5 linked regions of the Danio rerio genome follow. The protein of the gene in region 5 interacts with the protein of the main gene of each other region in a biochemical or structural test. Links are inferred from orthologs where the notes say so. Each region holds a gene or a part of one and is shown on either strand. Other genes may lie near its edges.

Region 1 (3,518 bases), on a different chromosome or scaffold from region 5:
GCCATGATTAGCTCATTAAAAATTTGCGTTAACAAGCAGTTGGACAGGTGTACCTAATAAAGTGGCCGATGAGTGTATTTAGAAATACACATAAAAAATGCACATTAAATATATGAATATATCACAGATAGTAAACATATAAATACTAAATAAATTGTTTTTTTCTAATTTTTTGTAAACATTTTTAAAATGATGACGTTATAAAAATACTAAATTGTATTTTAGTTATAACCAAAGTTTTAGTAAACCTCTCACCAATGCGTCCTGATCGTAACTTCTCTTGCCTTAAGAGGAAGCCGTATCCCTGTGGTCCTTGAGTCAGGTGGAGTGTTTTTGGTCTGTAGGGCAGATTATGGGTTTCGGCAAAAGCAGGAATTATGGGTAATCCCATGCGATTATAAATCTCTTCACTCCTGCTGTCAATTACCAAGACGGTCAGATGCTTTTCACATTTCTTCACCTAGTGAGAAAAAAAAGGAAAACTCTAGCAATTCTGGTAGATAACAGACCCCTTTTTCCTACACCCCATAATGCTTAGTGTGAATTTTAATAGTAACTTCCGTTAAACTGTTTGTAATGAACTGTAAAACTGAATTGTTACACCAATTATTGTAAGACTTATTATAATAACAGCTTATTAGAATATACAACTAACTATCAACACATCATGAGTAACCTCCAAAAACTCTAAACAATAGTCTTTTCAAACCAATGAACACAGATGTAAATTACTGTACTATTGGGAATGCAAAGAGAAAATAATCAAAAACTAAACACAATGAACTCAAAACAGTTTTGATATGCTTGTGGCAATACAAATGTGCCGATAAAATACCATAAAAGATATTTATTAGGAGCACGCTTACCATTTTGGCCAGTGCTGCATATGAGATGACAGAAATCGAGACTCCATTGATCCAGATGAGCCTGTCTCCATTCTGGATGCCTGCTCTTTCCGCTGGACCATCAGTCACTGGGTTCAGGCGATATCGGCCTCGCGCTCCTGATCACACATATTCCATTAAATAAACAAGAGCTCACCAAAATCATTCATATAGAGTTGAAGTCAGAATTATTAGCCCCCCTGAATTATTAGCACCCCTGTTTATTTTTTCCCCCCAATTTCAATAATTCTGACTTCAACTGTATATATATATATATATATATATATATATATATATATATATATATATATATATATATATATATATATATACTGTTGAAGTCAGAATTATTAGCCGCCCTGAATTATTAACGCCCGTTTTTTTGTTTTTTTTCCCAATTACTGTTTAATGGAGGGAAGATTGTTTCAGCACATTTCTAAGCATAATAGTTTTAAAAACTTATTTCTAAAAACTGATTTATTTTCTCTTTGTCATGATGTCAGTAAATAATATTTTAGTGACAAAAGTGACATTTAAAGGCTTAACTAGGTTAATTAGGTTAACTAGGCAGGTTAGGGTAATTAGGCAAGTTGTTGTATGATGATGGTTTGTTCTGTAGATTATTGGAAAAAATTTGCTTAAAGGGGCTAATAATTTTGTCACAAAAATGGTTTTTAAAAAAATATATAACTGCTTCTTTTCCAGTCGAAACAAAACAAATAAGACTTTCTCCAGAAGAAAAAATATTATCAGACATACTGTGAAAATTTCTCTGCTCTTTTAAACATCATTTGGGAAGTATTTAAAAAAGAAAAAAAAAATTAAAAGGGGGCTAATAATTCTGACTTCAACTGTATATATATATATATATATATATATATGAATTATTCATTCATTTATTGATTTTTCTTTGGCTTAGTCCCTTATTCCAGTGCTTTAACTTATTTCACAATTGCTTAAAAATATTAGCAAGTCAAAAAAGTGAGCGACAGAAGCAGTACCTTCAATGGGAATGATGCTGAGGCCCAAACCACAGCCAGGCTCTTTAGTGATGTGGCATAACCGCGGGCGAGAGCAGCCCTCAGGACGATAAGATCTGGCAACGGACAAAAGGTCTCTTCCCTCTGAAACTGCAAACTCATAATCTTGAGCACTCAGAACTAACAGATAGAGCTTTAATCCAGACGCCTGCACCTTCAGCACCACCTGAAAACAACACACAGCTCAATATACACACACTAGTAAAGAGTGTTGGGGGTAATGAATTACAAGTAGCGCGAGTTAACAAGTAAATCAATGCATTACTTTCAAAAAATAAGTAGAAATATTTAAGTTATTTTTTTTATTAATTAGCTTTTAAAAAATAAGTTGCTGAATTGAAATGAAAGTAGTCACGATGAATCAAGCAGTCAATGAGAGCATGTGTTCATTATTTTGAGTGCATCTGAAAAAAAGGGGGATTTTACCCAAGGCTTTCACTCAACTGGTACAAAAGTAGCAAATACATTGCTTTAAATGTTTAATAATCTGTATATATGGCATGTATAGCTCTGGGGTCATGAGGTTCTCAGATAACATTATCCTAAAATATATATATCATTTTTTTAGGTGTTTTTTAAAGGTAAATGAAGGTGTAGGTTATACAGTGCGTTGTTAATAGCAGAACTCCTCTATTTAAAAAAAAAAAAAAAAAAAAGTCAGTTCTGTGGAGTTTTCATGTTCTCCCCGTGCCTGTGTAGGTGTCCTCCGGGTGCTCCGGTTTCCCCCCACAGTCCAAAGACAAGTGGTAGGTGAATTGAATAAGCTTGGCTGTGGAGCAAATGAGTGAATGCAAAAATGTATTGGTATTTCCCAGTGCTGAGTTGCGGCTGGAAGAGCATCCGCTGCGTAATATCATATGCTGGAAAAGTTAGTGGTTCATTATGTTGTGGCGACCCCAGATTAATAAAGGGACTAAGCTGAAAAGAAAATGACTGAATGTATATTTGTAATGGTATAACAGGTACACAGTAATAAGGACACTGTGAATTAACATTTTTGTCACTTACACTTATGTCAAGATTTGGTGATTTAATCGTACCTGCAGCCATGGTGGCGATACTCGAATGTAAACATTATCATTGCACGGTTATTGTACTACACATCATTCTGCCCATTTATGCTGTCTAAACCATATAGAGATTAAAGACTTACCAAGCAGGAAACTGAATTGAATTAGTGGTAAGAATTATGTATGACAGGTATTAATTAAGATATTAATGCCTTGGAAATCCTGAATCCTGAATCAGTATGGTCCAACACAAACATCTTTTGTTCCTCAGATTTTTATTAATTTATTTTTTTTTTATACCTTTTGGCAGTTTATACACTCAGAAGTAAAGATACGTGAGCTGTCCCTGGGGTGGTACCTTTTTTGAAAGATCCATATTAATACCTCAAGGGTACATATTAGTACCTATAATATATACTTTTGAGGGACCAATATGGACCCTTCAAGTACAAATGTGTACCTTACCCATCCAGCTGCGACCCAGTACTGGGGACCTCCAGGCCGACTTATGATTGGCTATAAAGTCAAACATTATGACACTCTATATAAAATGTGAACTTCTGAGTGTATTGTAAAAATGTGAT
Region 2 (3,518 bases), on a different chromosome or scaffold from region 5:
GGGCAATTCATTCATAGCTTAACATTAAAACTGCTGTCATAACATTATTTATTAATTTGTGGAACTTTTTGGACTCTGAAATTTAAAAATGTACAACTGAAAATACGGTAGAACCATTTTTATTGTTTACATCCCTCAGTCTATTGATGTAAACATACAACCAAGTTTGCTGTAGTCTTAATCTCAGGTGATGACTGAAATAAAGTTGATAATCTTCAATCTCATTTGTAGCTTTTAAATCTCATTGTGCATGCCCAGAAGATGCATTAGTATTAACCTTTATTTTAGATCACAATAATCACAATTTTTTCATAGAAATTTAGAATTTTATTCAAATGAATGTCTGAACTTTCTACTCATCTAACAAATTTAGTGTAATTTATATGATTTTTCTTAGATTTCAACAAATGCTCTGTACTAAAAAGCTCTGTAAATGTGAATTAAAATAAAAAAAATAAATATTGAATGTATTGAAATTGTTGAACTGAATTTTAGTTTGACTGAAATTATAATAAAAATGAAGTAAAAATAGAGAAAAGGAGCATGAGAAATGTCTCCGAGGTTGATTTTGGTGACAGGTTTGAATAGGCTGAGTGTGAATGTTTTTTTCTCTGTGTGCTGCATTGGAAGAGAGCGATAAATGAAGCCTCCATGCTGCAGTGGAGATTGATGACAGTCAGACACCATATCAAATCACCCATCAGGCCTGTAACTTTGCATAAGCAGCCAAAACACATGCACACAGTCCTCATAGTCTGAGAGAAAACCCAAACACTACTAATGGCGTTACCCCCCAAAAAACTCTCTTTTTGTTCTCTTTTTTTATTTAAATAACCACATACCACATATTTACAATCAATTCTTCCTCTCTATTAAATAACAATCTTTGTTTTTTCTAGTGTTTGATCAACTAGATCTTGTCACATATGAGGAGGTAGTGAAGTTGCCGGCGTTCAAGAGGAAAACATTAGTTTTACTAGGTGAGTATGTTGATCAGAGTTCTTAATCATTGCTTGTTGTCATAAAGCACACGTCTCTTACATTCATGGTTTGTTGCTGACCGGCAGGTGCTCACGGTGTTGGCCGAAGACACATCAAGAACACACTCATCACCAAACACCCAGACAGATTTGCTTATCCCATTCCACGTAAGCAGCTTTCTCAAAATCTTTATTATTGTGCACCAGTCCTGATCAGTGGGTAAACACAAACTTATTTCTGCTCCAAAAGACACAACCAGACCTCCAAAGAAAGATGAAGAGAACGGCAAGAATTATTTCTTTGTTTCACATGACCAAATGATGCAGGACATCTCCAACAACGATTACCTGGAGTACGGCAGCCACGAGGACGCGATGTACGGCACACGGCTGGAGACGATACGCAAAATCCATGAGCAGGGACTCATAGCCATACTGGACGTAGAGCCACAGGTGAACGTTTAGAGATTTTTAATGAGAGAAGTTGCTCATACAGTAACCTTGTTGATCATTTTAGCTATGCAATACCATTAATGGATTTCCAGAAATATGCTTTGGTTTTTGGTGTTTATTTCAAAGACCTAGATTTTGTGATCAGCAACACAAAGGCGCTATGGGGTTTTCAGCACAGCACAGCAACACTCTTTATGCTGGCTTAAGAATGTAATGCATTCCTTAGTCTTGTGTTGTTTGATTCTCTTCAGGCACTGAAGGTTTTACGGACAGCTGAATTTGCTCCCTATGTGGTTTTCATAGCTGCACCAACTATCACTCCTGGCATGAATGAGGTGAGATCAGAATCCAAAATACATGGACTTCTCAAAAGGCCACGGCATGAGTCACTTCACTGGCAGAATAACTCCATCTAACTTCTTTCCTTCTTTGTCTTCAGCTGATCTGTTTTCTGTTTTGCATGCATCGTGTTTTAGCATGTATTTTAATTTCTTCTACCTTTCCCTACATCTCGCTCAGCTTCCCAGATGGTGCAGGAAGCTGCCTGTGAGTATGAGGCTGTCAGCTTAGATCCCAAAATACCTCCATTCATGACCTCTGTAGCTAAGGTCAAACGGACAGTTGGCTGTTTTTAAGAAAACCCTGTTCCATTACCTGTCGGAGCTGTACTACTGTTCAAAAGTTTAGTTTTATAAAAGAAGTTATTACTTTTATTTAGCAAATATGCATTGCATTGATCACATTTAACAGCAAAAACATTTATAATGTTACAAAAATAAATAGTTTTATAATGCTTCATAAAATGTAAAGTGTTTTTAAATGTTATTAGAATGATTTCTGTAGGATTGTGGGACACTAAAAACTTGGAGTAATGATGCAGACTATTCAGCTTTGTTATCACAGAAATAAAGTCAACTTAAAAAAAAAATCGAAGACTGTTTTACATTTTAAATTGCTAAATAAATTCACAGTATTTTCATGTATTTTTGATCGAATAAATCCAGACCCTATGAGCGTAAGCGATATTGCTTAAAAACATTATTAAATTTTATTGTCCCCAAACTTTTGAACAGTAGTGTATATATAAACAAGTTCCATCATTCCCTACTGCCTAATGCCCTGTTTATAGATCTTCATGTACTTTAGGGATCAAAAGGGTTGAATGTAAAGTTGTACATGTGGAATTCTCAAACCCTTGTTATTAGCAATGGGTGTTAAGTCTACTGCAGTTTTTAAGAGATAGTTCACCCGAATGTTCTCTCATTAATTACTCATCCTCATAATGTTCCATACACCTCAGACTTTTTTTTTCATCCTCAGAACACAACTGAATGCATTTCAATTCAAATTGAATGGTTTTCTGCCTCTACAACTTCACTTTTAAGGCCCAGAAGGATACAGTAATAAGAGCATCACTGAGTCAGGCCCTGATTACACTATGTTTTAGTTTTAAAACAATCGGCGTCCACACTGGCTTTTCACTTAGTGTTTCTGAAAAGATCTCTGTCCACACTACATTGCGAAAAACGCACATCACGGGACCACACACACTCTGGTATGCACTGCAGCCTATGCAGACGTCTGAGCTCTAGGCAGTCAGCGGGTGCTTTGAGCACACCTCCCACATTGTGTTTGTTTTATTTCAGATCATTCATCATTTTTATTTTTATTTAGAACTGTAATGCACTCCAGAATCTGACAGATTTATTAGCTGTAGGCTCTAGAACAATCATCTGAAGTGTTGTCATACAGTGTTATGCCTGGATTTCATCTGTATTTTGCAGCCTTGCATTTACTAACGCAGACTGATAAGTGTTTGGATGTAATTTGCGTTTTCCTCTTGTTAAAAAACGTCATAAGAACAATGTTTAGTGGCACAATGTGTTACAATAGTGTTTTTAAAAGTCTAAACACTTTATTGATAAAGTCTATAACCAAGCACATGTGGTCAGAACACAAACGAGTCGCAGGTAATGAAATATTAACCGTGTCTGTAGCTCCGCCTCTTCGCCCTTATTTGTTATGCCCTCGTTGGTGCGATGAATTGCGAACAAAATGGCGACGGTTGGCCACGCCTACTGGTAG
Region 3 (4,023 bases), on a different chromosome or scaffold from region 5:
ACCAGGCCGTATCCTGAGCAGATATCAGGGCCGGAGTGGGACTCATTTTCAGCCCTGGAGTTTCAAGCCAGACCAGCCCACCTCGACTGATTACATTAAAATAAGGTCATTTCCAATTCAGTTTCTAATGACACTATCACATCTTTTTTGAGAAAACAGCTGCTTTAGAAATTCAAATGTTCAACAACCCTTACAGTATTATGTCATAAAAACGAAAAATAATAATAATAATTTTTCAGGTGAGATTCGAACATGGGTCGGAAGTTTCGCAACGCAACGTGCTTTCCACTGGACCACAATGGCGCTATTCCAGTGGGAATAAAAAATAAAGATTACACTGTGAACGGCAAGACATAGTATTACTTTGATGGCTAAATCATTTTCTCCTTTTAGATTTCTGATCAAGTTTTGTCAGATTTAATGTAGTAAATCATCTGATTTTCATTGAGCAGGTGTATTATTCATTAATATTAATTATTCAAATTCTTATAATCACTAAGGTGCCACTGTTTGGGGTCGAATGATTAGTTACATCATCATTAACGTTAGTAAACCTGCAGGCTGCATTTTGCTCACGGAGCAGCAAGAAAAAAAATAAATAAAAAGAGCGGCGCTGCGGCAAAATAATGAAAAACAAAAAAAAAGAGTGAGGCTATGGTCAAATTAATAAATAAATAAATGAAAAAAGTGTGACTGCTGAGAGTGCAAGCAGCTAGGGACACTGGCCCTCACGGCCAAAAAACGGACCGACCCACCAGGAATTCTCTCGGTTCGCCAATCCGGGCCTGGCAGATATTGTGGTTGTCATGGAGGAGCTGAGAGCATAAGACTGATGCCTGAATCACCCCAGTGACAAACAAGTCCTCACATTTATCAAGTGGGCCAGCCTGAACACACGCCGGTGACCTACTCACACTTGCATCTTCTCCACGATGGACATCCAGCGTTCTCCAGCCTCCGGCGCCTAGACTGCTTTTCTGCAGTTTGGTCAGAGGAGAAATGGTCGTGCCCAACAGAGCCGGTTTCTCTCCAGGTTTTTTCCTTCACTTCAATCACGTCAATTGGTGAAGATTGTTCCTTCGCTGTTGCCACTGGCTTGCTTGGTTTGGGAATTGTGGAGCTGCGCATCGATGGATTTGCTCTTCAGTGTTTGAACTCTCAGTATTGAATATTAAACCACACTGAACTAATCTAAACTGAACTCCAACTCTGAAAACTGGACTGACAGTTTACACTATCACTATATCACTATAATCTTCTATGTTAAGCTGCTTTAACACAATCTGCATTGTAAAAGCGCTACAGAAATCAAGATATTTTTCAATTAGCTACAGAACAAACCATCATTATACAATGACTTGCCTAGTTAACATAATTAAGCCTTTAAATGCTGAATACAAGTATCTTGCAAAAACTTGCACGACCCTCAATTGGTACTAATGGACCCAAAGTGTGCTAAAAAAATCTCCCCCACACCAATACACCACCACCACCAGCTTAAACCGCTGACACAAGGAAGGATGGATTCATGCTTTTATGCTGTTGACGTCAAATTCTGACCCGAGCATCTGAATGTGTCAGCAGAAATGGAGACTCATCAGAGCAGGCAACGTTTCTCCAATCTTCTATTGTCCAGTTTTGGTGAGTCTGTGTGAATTGTAGCCTCAGTTTCCTGTTCTTAGCTGACAGGAGCGGCACCCGGTGTGCTCTTCTGCTGCTGTAGCCCATCCGCCTCAAGGTTGGACGTGTTGTGTGTTCAGAGATGCTCTTCTGCAGACCTTGGTTGTAACGAGTGCTTATTTGAGTTTCTGTTGCCTTTCTATCAGCTGGAACCAGTCTGGCCATTCTCCTCTGACCTCTGGCATCAACAAGGCATTTGTGCTCACAGAACTGCCGCTCACTGGATATTTCCACTTTGTCGGAGAATTCTCTGTAAACCCTAGAAATGGTTGTGCGTGAAAATCCCAGTAGATCAGCAGTTTCTGAAATACTTAGACCAGCATGTCTGTTATCAACATCCATGCCACGTTCAAAGTCACTCAAATCCCCTTACTTCCTCATTCTGATGCTCGGTTTGACCTGCAGCAGATCGTCTTGACCATGTCTACATGCCTAAATGCATTAAGCTCCTGTCGGTGAGTGTATACTCTACATTTTTCTGATTTTGATTGAAATGTATTAACGTGCACCTTTTGTAGAGCTGCTGTTCATATAGTAGAAATGATTAAAATGAATTGTTTAATGTACATCACACACACACACACACACATCTGGACAACAGTAACACACATCTGGACACTGACAGTTGTGTGAAATCATTCATGACTCTTTATGCAGCTCTGTGAACTTAAAACACACACAATCCAACAGTTAATCACTAAAATTAAGCACTACCAACGAGTAAATGTAATTTCACGTCGATCAGAAATTAAACTCCTGTGCCTGACACATAAGCACATTCACACACACTTTACAAGCTAACAACCAGGTCAGCGCTGAGAATAAACACGCTTAGAGATTAAATCAGATGGTTTGAATATGAAATATGGATTATTTGAGGCGTACCGGGTTTGACTGCTGGACTGACGCCTGTCGTTAGCAAACCGGTAGCGACACTGGTGCTTTGATGATCACTTTTGGATCCCTGATAGCGAATGAAACGCGGCCAAACTCATATTCCGACTCGATCATGACATTAAGATGACAAATGTCCGACGTTTTCATCGGCGATCCTCAAAAACACGACATTTTACCCGCGGGTGTGAGACGCTAGCATCATGTTTCGGTTGTTTTGACTCTGCCGTCACTGTGACGTCGCCGGAGGTGACGATCGGAAGCTCGTTGCCAACGTAATAACGCCACCTGTCGGCGACGTGCAGGAGTTTAATTTCATAATAATAATAATTAGATAAAATATATAAATAAATATGAAAACAGTTATAATAATAATGCTTGATTATTATCATTATTTATTCTACATTTTACACGTTTTTTTCCGGTTACACATTTTAAAAAGTGTTCTAGAAAAGCATGTAATAAAAATATAAATAACTGACTTAATTTCTACTTCAGCATATAATTTTGAGCTTTCTAATGACTTTTAATTCTTATGACTTTAATACCTTATTTATAATTTTGACCTTTAAGTAACAGAGTAAGCCATAATTGCTCATTTTTTATTAAGAATTACAAAAAAAGTCTTAATTTCTTCTTTAAATATTTTTTTTCATGTAGTTATAGAATTTAGCTATATAATTTAATATAAAAATACATCAAATGTCTTTAATTCTCCTGTAAAAATGTGCATTTTGTATTTAATTTTTGTTTAGAGACATTTTAGAGTCACCCTAAAAAGCTGCATCATATTTTAGGTGCAAAACAATGAGTTTGCTAAAATGATGTGAATAATTTAATAATAAACATACTCAAATTCAGATTGCAATATAATTTCTTGCTGAACACCAAACACATTCAGAAAAATAATATATTAACATTAAAGAACAGTAAAAGAGTCACCAAACACCATTTCAGTTCATAAACCATATAATGCACTTAAATGAGGACAACATGAACAGTCGACAAGTAAGACAAGTAGAAAAAATACATGAATCAAAATGTGAATAATTATGATGATAATATATAATTCATTAGTGTTATCATCATTTTTACTCTACATTTTAGTTTTTTTGTGATTATTAATTTTAAAACTTTAAAAATGTTCAAGATAATGTGCTTTCTTATCACTTCTAATTTTGATTTAGGTATAACATTTCTTTTTTTTAATACCCTATTTATAATTTTGACCTTTAAATAACTCAGAGTAAGCCATAATTGCTCATTTTAATTAACATTTATGAAGAATGCCGTCATTTCTTCTTTAAATTTTTTTTTCATGTAATTACATAATTTAGTCATAGACTTTATTATAAAAATAAGTCAAATGTCTCTAATTCTTCTGTAAAAATGTGAATTTTGTATTCAGTTTTTGTTTAGAGATATTTTAAAGTCCCCCCAAAATAGCTG
Region 4 (3,518 bases), on a different chromosome or scaffold from region 5:
TTTTAACTGTCACTGGGTCACTGACAGAGACAGAAACATCAAGTGTTGTCTAGTATTAAAAACATACTTCTTATTTATTATTATCATTCAGATCGTGAAATATGTGAATTTTGTGATTTGTAATTCGTGAAATGTGATTTTAAGACATTGATTTTAACATATAAAGCGGTTCATGGTTCGGCTCCAGTCTACGCTCTGCCTTGAGTCTTACGCTGTTTCAGCCTCGCTGCAAACTCAGCACCATGGGAGGTAGGCCATTCTCTTTCCGTGCTCCCAAACTGTGGAATGCTCTTCCCACTAACATTAGGAGTGCCGGATCATTTGATGCTTTTAAAAAGCTACTTAAAACTCATCTTTTTAGGTCTGTTTTTAATTTGTGATATCTTTTATTCTTACTGTGTTTTTTTATTGCATTTTTTTAATTGTTTACTTGCTTTGTTGTTTTTACTTTCTTGTAAGCGCTTTGGGTTTTAGAAAAGCATGTTATAAATAAAATGTATTATTATTATTATTATTATTATTATTATTATTATTATTATTATTATTATTATAACTATTATTATTATTATTATTATTATTATTATTATTATTATTATTATTATTATTATTAATAATTAGCCTGTAAGTTTAAAAATATATATTTATAAATGTGTCATTTAATTAGAAAAGTGGCAGTTTACTTATTTAATACATGGAAACAAAAAATGAATATAGAAGGGTTTTTTTACTACAGTAAACAGGGGGGTTGAGCCTATTTGGCATATTCAGAACTCAAATGGTTACTGTATGTCTGTCTATGTAATACAGTGGAGTACTAGCATACAAAAACACATTTCTACTCATTTATTCATTTTCTTTTGAGCTTTGTCCCATTATTAATCTGGGGACAGTGGAATGAACCGCCAACTTATCCAGCATATGTTTTACGCAGTGGATGCCCTTCCAGCTGAAACCCATCACTGGGAAACACATTTCTACTTTAAAGAGGAAAAAAAAATACAAAAGAAAAATACCAAACAAGTTCATAACATAGTTGATCAAGAGTGCCTTTCAGACAGAGGTTCAGCAGCATTTGTTCTTTTTAAAAGGGAAATACTTAGCTAATATGATGCTTAGATTTACATTAGACAAATACAGTTTTTGTAAACGTATTGTTATTTATTTATTATAAATAAATAAATAAATGTATTTATAAATTTATTTATTTATGTATTTATTTATTTTTTATTAATTAATATTTATTAAATTTATTTATTTATTTATTTATGTATTTATTTATTTATTTATTTATTTATTTATTTATTTATTTATGTATTTGTACATAACATTAATTAATAAATTAATTTATTAATACATTTATGTATTTATTTATTTTTAATTAATTAATTAATTATTAAATTTATTTATTATGCATGTATGTATGTTTGTATTTATTTATTAATTAATTAATTTATTTATTTATTCATTCATTTATTAATTCATTGTTCTGTCATTTGTTTTCAGTGTAAAATTATTACTTATTACTAGGGCCAGACAGAATCTGCGGACGTTTTTTGCTATTTCTGCGGAGAATTTTGGTAAAAATCTGCAGATTTCTGCGGAATTATTTTGGGAGTATCCAGCGGAGTATCATAACTAAAGCCTTAATATATGAAATAAAAAGTAATAATTTACTGAACAAAAACTGAATAAATGTAGATTTACACATTTACTCAAGTAAATAAACTGAATTAATGATGGGCTAGAAATCTGCGGAAAATCTGCGGAATTCTGCACGCGCAGATTCTGTGTGGGGCTACTTATTACTTACAACTAGTAGTGTTTTGAAATTAATGAATGTATAATCTAGACAACTGTGATTATTCCTCAGACTATACATGTACAATCAAAAACTGTAATCGTTGCATCCCTATAATACACTTTAGTATGGTTCAAAAACACTTTACTATTAAATAATATAGTATTTCTTAATGTGGGGACCCATAAGCAGTTTTTCTAAATGTGCATTTCTCTTGTCTTCAGGTGGTGCAGCGGATTAAAGCTGTGGAACATGAGACCAGACTGCTGGTGGTTGACAGAGAGACTGATGAGTATTTCCGCAGTCTTCGTCTCACCTGCACTGAGGAAATGGCCATCCGGACGAGCCCCACAGCCACGACCCCTTCACCCTCACCCTCCACCAGTAAACAGGGCAATGGATCAGTGTCCAAACGGAGCGAGATCTCCAAACCCATCAGGAAACCTCCGTCACGAGCTCTCAAGAAGGTGCGGAATCCTCTACATACACTCTTAGAAAAATGATAAAGATTCTATTTTAGAATCCATGTTCCAAATCTGTCATTCCATTTCCATTCTTTGGAGTTTTAAAAATGTTCTTTACAGAATGTACTTTTCGCTGAAAGTTCTTTGGACAACCAAGGATGGTTCTTCTATGACTATAGCTATGTTTTTATCCACCTTATTTTTATGCACATCAGTTAAGGTTAAGGTTAGGGCTGGGGTTAGGACATACATTTTGAAAATACGCTCAAAACACTAATGCTCTTTAATGAGTAGGAAACTTTTTACTCAATATAAATAAAATAGCAAGTCATTTATTCTATAAGGAAAAAAGTCTTCAGTGGCTTCTAATATATCACAGCAAATTCCGTTTTTCTTTTTGATATTTACCGCCACTTTATCAGGTAATTATGATTTAGTTCACTTTGAGTCACTGGATGTAAACGGTGTTAAATTTGCAAATGATTTACTTGATGTTCCAGTTTGGGCACAAGTTTAATTCACATCTTTAGATGGAAACATAGCTAATGTTATGTAAACATGCTTTTGGAACATCATTAAAGTGGTCTGTTTTGCCGTCGTCTGATATTAGCTTTCAAGTAGTGTGCAATGTAGCTGTTTTTCTATATGAAGAAGCAATTCTGAACTGCTGAAATGAGTCCTCAGCAACACACATATGTAGATTTTTATAGTTTTGCATAAAGCCAGTCGTCATAAAGTTGGTGAATGTCCCTTAAACTCTGCAGCTGTAGATGATGTCTGGAAGAGTTTAGTTTGTCTTGTGTTGAGAAGGATGCTGTTTTCTGTGCCTGCATCACATCTAAATGATAGGAATTTGGTTTGGTTGATATGGTAAAACCAACACCATCATTACTGTTTGTAAAACTGTTTGTAAAACTTTATTCATGCCAAAATTAAAAGTCTTTTGAAGCAGTGGTTCCCAACCTGTTTTTGCCTGAGACCCCCTTTTCCCCCCTGAAAATATTGTAAGCCCCTCTCCACATTTAATGATATAATCGCTCATATAAGTTTGCAGTAATGATGATAAAAATGTTGTTTTCAAACAAATGGTATGTTTATTACTATATGTAGATATTTTTATGCATTAAGATAAGCCTAATGTTTTCCCAGTGAAGGGTTGCAGCTGGAAGGGCATCCGCTGCGTAAAACATGTGCTGGATAAGTTGGCGGTTCATTCCGCTGTGGCGACCCCGAATTAATAAAGGAACTGAGCCAAA
Region 5 (4,113 bases):
AATAGGGTTTGTCCACCTGTAAATATTCAGAGCAGATGTACAATATTTATTTACTATGAGGACAGTTAAGTGTAGTTATTTTCATGATTATTGTTGGTTTCAGCACAGAAACATTCTAGAGTCACGACTGGTCCTTAGACAATTCAAATAACCTTGTTGTTCTCACACAAACATTGTACTTTAATGCAACTCAAACAACTTTTTGTGATTTTTGTGGTCATGGTGTTATGCAGCTTTCTTTTATTATTGTGGTTATTGTGTTATGCAACTTTTAGTGATTTTTGTGGTCTTTGTGTTATGCAAATCTAAGTAACGATGCCTTTAAACATAATTGAATACTGATCTCAAAGAGAAGTGGCAGTGTATTGTTGCCGTGATTATCTCCTCGAGGCAACCCAATTTCTGTTTTTCAATCTGTGATATTCTTGTTGCAATAACTGTAATGTAACTTTTGAGGTTGAAAAAAGATTGATAAAAACTGTTGAAATATGTTAATATAAAAATTATGAAAACCTATTTCAACCATGAAAATGTAAAACTTTTAATTGCGGCATTTTACTTACAATTTTGACTTCATTTATTCATTTTCTTTTCGGCTTAGTCCCTTCATTAATCTGGGGTCACCACAGCAGAATGAACCGCCTACTTATCCAGCATATGTTTTATGCAGCAGATGGCCTTCCAGCTGCAACCCATCACTGGGAAACACATGCACACTTATTCACACACACATACACTACGGACAATTTAGCCTACCCAATTCACCCGTACCGCGTGTCTTTGGACTGTTGGGGAAGTCGGAACACCCGGAGGAAACCCAGGCGAAAACAGGGAGAACATGCAAACTCCACACACAAACGTCAACTGACCCAGCCGAGGCTCGAACCAGCGATCTTCTTACTGTGAACAGCACTACCTACTTCTTCTAAAAAAGTGTGAGTTTACATCTTATATCTCGAATTCTGACTTTTCTGATTTATGAATTTTTATCTTGCAATTTAAAATGATAAATGGTCAAACTGTACACCATTCTGACTTATTGAATCTTGAGAAAAATTATCAGAATTGTGGGAGATAAAGTCAGAATTTTCAGATATAATCTCAGAATTCTAACTTTTTTCTTTATTGTACATCTACATTTCTGAATATGAGCAATATTTGAGTTAATAACTAATGTTTCAATTCAATTACTTCATGTTTATTTTTATAGTGCTTTTATTGTGTCAAAGCAGCTTCACATAGTTCTAGTAAAGTCCAAGTCTAAAGTTGAGTTTAGATCAGTGTGGTGAACAAAATCAAGAAGGTATGTTTGAAAATTGTCAGACATACCATTCTGAAACCTTTTTATGAATGTAATCATGTACAATCAAAATAGCCACAATTGCAAGAAAAAAGTCTCAATTTTGAGATGTAAACACAGAATCTTGAGGAAGAAATATTACAATCAAGGAAGATGAACAATTTGGAATTTTGAGGTATAATCTCAGAAATTAAAACTCTTCTCTTTATTTCAGAGTTTATTGTTTATTTGAATTTCCAAATCTAAGCAGTATATTGCAGTTCTGACATTTTTCTCACAACTTAATTAATATTTCACAATTTAGTTAACAAAAAAGAAAAACAGAATTATAATACTTATTCATTCATTCATTTTTTTTTTTTTTTGGCTTAGTCCCTTTATTAATTAGGGAATCGCCACAGCGGAATGAACCATCAACTGAACCAGCATGTTTTACGCAGCGGATGCCTTTCCAGCCGCAACCAAAAACTGGGAAACACCCATACACTCTCAATCACACACATACACAACGAACAATTTAGCTTATTCAATTCACATTTAGTGCATGTCTTTGGTCTTGTGGGGGAGACCAGAGCACCTGAAGGAAACCCAAGCCAACACGGGGAGAACATGCAAACTCTACACGAAAATGCCAACTGACCCAGCCAGGGCTTGAACCAGTGACCTTCTTGCTGTGAGGCTATCATGCTACTCACTCCGCCACCATGACGCCCATATATACACTTATACTTTTCTAATTAAAAATCTCAAAAAAGTCAGGATTATGAGATATAATATTAGAGCTTTTTCCAGCACTTTCAAGTTTAGGCTACATTGTGCAATTCTGAAACAAGTTACGAATGTCATATGCAATAAGTAGATATCACAATAAAGTTTAAAAAACAGTAAGAATTTCATTGCAAAAATTCTGAATTATAATGTCAGAACTGCAAGAAAAACCAGAGAATTTTGAGGCATAATGTCAGAATTCTTACTTTTTTCTTTAATTCTGAGTTTCTCAATAGGCAATATCGTGCAGTTTTGACATTTTATGTCGGAACTCTTGAGTTTGTATCTAAGAATTTAATTATCAAAAAATAAAAAATAAATAAATAGAGAAAAACAGAATTGTCAGATAATTCTGATTAAACTTCAATAAAGAACAGCAAAACATATCAGAACTCCGACTTTTGCCCTGCAGTTTGGTTAAACTGTTTCGCAAATCTGGAGAAAAATATGTACAGTATCATGAGCAGTCTAGGTAGCTAGATATCACATATAATAAAGCAAATATCTACTATAAACACCCTTGTCATTAAGCATTTTGTTTCAAGTCTTGTTAGGCTGTATACAATAAATAAATCATCTACACTTAAAAAAATGCAGGATTCCACACAATATGCTCTCCCAACAAATTTAAGAAGATGTAACAATTATGTTGTCCCAAAAGAGGTCTCAAGAATTGAGTCTTACCAAAAGAAGTATCTGGAGAGGCAGTTGGCATCCTCCACAGGTGATCTCTGCATCCTAAAAAGTACCCCGGGGGTGAAAGCGCTCACATCGGGTTACGGGTATCAGCTCAACGCCTCTCCGCTGAGTGAAGATCGCTTTCCTCCACCGAGCGCGACCGAGCGCTGATAACGTCGATATTCGCAGCCAGTATTTAGACAATAAAAGGAAAAATTCTCGTGTCTCAAATCGCTAATGAGAAGTAAGGCGCTTATAAAGAGCCCATAGTGACAGGAGCGCTGCTGTGATTTAGTGAGAGAAGTGCGCTCTCTCAAGCCCAAACGCCACAGATCCTCTGGGCATGTCATCCTCAAACTGTCAGTCTTTTACAGAGATGCTCACGTGTTGCTTTACAAGAGCAAGTGGTGTGTCATCATGAGAGAATTCTCGTGGTGTTTGAGGGAGGACGTCAATGCTTTTGACACATGAACGTCAAGTGCAGCTATTGTTTAATTTGAAGCTATTGTTTCCTGATTCCATCATGCTTGGTACTGGGAAAAATACGGAAATTAAAAATGTTTAATAATAATAATAATAATAATAATAATAATAATAATAATAAAAATAATACTAATAATAATAATTTATTTAATTAAAATAAACCAAATTTATATATTTCAATTTAAAAATAAAATAAATCATAAAGTGTTTATTTATCCTTGTGTTGGATTTTCAGCATCAGTGTTGCATCATCTTTCAGAAATTATCCTAATATGCTGAAACATTTCTGATTATTATCAATGATGAAAACAGTTATGTTGCATCTTTGTGGAAACAATGATATACTACTCAAAAGTAAACAAAAAAATTAAAAATATATATTCATTCATACAAAAAGGCATGTATCATCGTGCATTTTGTTTATTTATGCTTTTTGACTAATTTTACACTGTAAAAAATTATACAATCAATTATTCCTGACAGCATATGTTTTAGGTCATTGTAACTTATATCATGTTCTTACTTTATTTTATACGTTTCACAAGCCGTTTTAAGTCAGTTTAACATAATATCAGTTCAATGTACCCATAAGGTTAAATTGATTCAGCTAAAAATTTTAAGGCAACAAAGATTTTTTTACAGTGTACTCAACCAAAAATTCTGAAAAGTAAAATGTAAAATTTCCGCAAAAAAGCATGAAAACTTTTAAAACACTCATAATAAGTCCCATTATTGAATGACTGATATTACATTATAACTGCTTATAACACAGAGGACTAAAGACTAAAATGAGGAACTGTTATTTTAAATTGAACGTTTTTAATTGAATCCCAATATTAAACAAAATAAAGAATAGTTATTAAGTCAAACTAGAAAGAAGTTAG

The links.
Region 1: the proteins of cftr (region 5) and nherf4a form a complex in vitro, tested with the Homo sapiens proteins (2 studies listed by BioGRID and IntAct, with this or other methods). The link is inferred for Danio rerio from reciprocal best matches to the Homo sapiens genes CFTR and NHERF4.
Region 2: the proteins of cftr (region 5) and caska interact in a test that uses a peptide from one of them, tested with the Homo sapiens proteins (2 studies listed by IntAct, with this or other methods). The link is inferred for Danio rerio from reciprocal best matches to the Homo sapiens genes CFTR and CASK.
Region 3: of the proteins of cftr (region 5) and stub1, one has a biochemical effect on the other in vitro, tested with the Homo sapiens proteins (4 studies listed by BioGRID). The link is inferred for Danio rerio from reciprocal best matches to the Homo sapiens genes CFTR and STUB1.
Region 4: the proteins of cftr (region 5) and Na(+)/H(+) exchange regulatory cofactor NHE-RF2 form a complex in vitro, tested with the Homo sapiens proteins (4 studies listed by BioGRID and IntAct, with this or other methods). The link is inferred for Danio rerio from reciprocal best matches to the Homo sapiens genes CFTR and NHERF2.

What each region holds. Positions count from the first base shown.
Region 1 is NC_133190.1:25,927,889-25,931,406, forward strand, and holds part of nherf4a (Na(+)/H(+) exchange regulatory cofactor NHE-RF4), read right to left. Parts: intron 2,091-3,518; coding exon 1,886-2,090; intron 1,004-1,885; coding exon 867-1,003; intron 461-866; coding exon 256-460; intron 1-255.
Region 2 is NC_133184.1:35,058,375-35,061,892, reverse strand, and holds part of caska (peripheral plasma membrane protein CASK), read left to right. Parts: intron 1-899; coding exon 900-980; intron 981-1,067; coding exon 1,068-1,148; intron 1,149-1,230; coding exon 1,231-1,433; intron 1,434-1,684; coding exon 1,685-1,768; intron 1,769-1,952; coding exon of another isoform or gene 1,953-1,979; intron 1,980-3,518. UniProt on the Homo sapiens protein: Multidomain scaffolding Mg(2+)-independent protein kinase that catalyzes the phosphotransfer from ATP to proteins such as NRXN1, and plays a role in synaptic transmembrane protein anchoring and ion channel trafficking.
Region 3 is NC_133199.1:43,372,102-43,376,124, reverse strand, and holds the start of stub1 (E3 ubiquitin-protein ligase CHIP), read right to left. Parts: upstream 2,812-4,023; 5' UTR 2,566-2,811; intron 1-2,565. UniProt on the Homo sapiens protein: E3 ubiquitin-protein ligase which targets misfolded chaperone substrates towards proteasomal degradation.
Region 4 is NC_133178.1:11,806,904-11,810,421, forward strand, and holds part of Na(+)/H(+) exchange regulatory cofactor NHE-RF2, read left to right. Parts: intron 1-2,022; coding exon 2,023-2,265; intron 2,266-3,518.
Region 5 is NC_133193.1:22,064,598-22,068,710, reverse strand, and holds the start of cftr (cystic fibrosis transmembrane conductance regulator), read right to left. Parts: upstream 2,806-4,113; coding exon 2,753-2,805; intron 17-2,752; coding exon 1-16. UniProt on the Homo sapiens protein: Epithelial ion channel that plays an important role in the regulation of epithelial ion and water transport and fluid homeostasis. Mediates the transport of chloride ions across the cell membrane.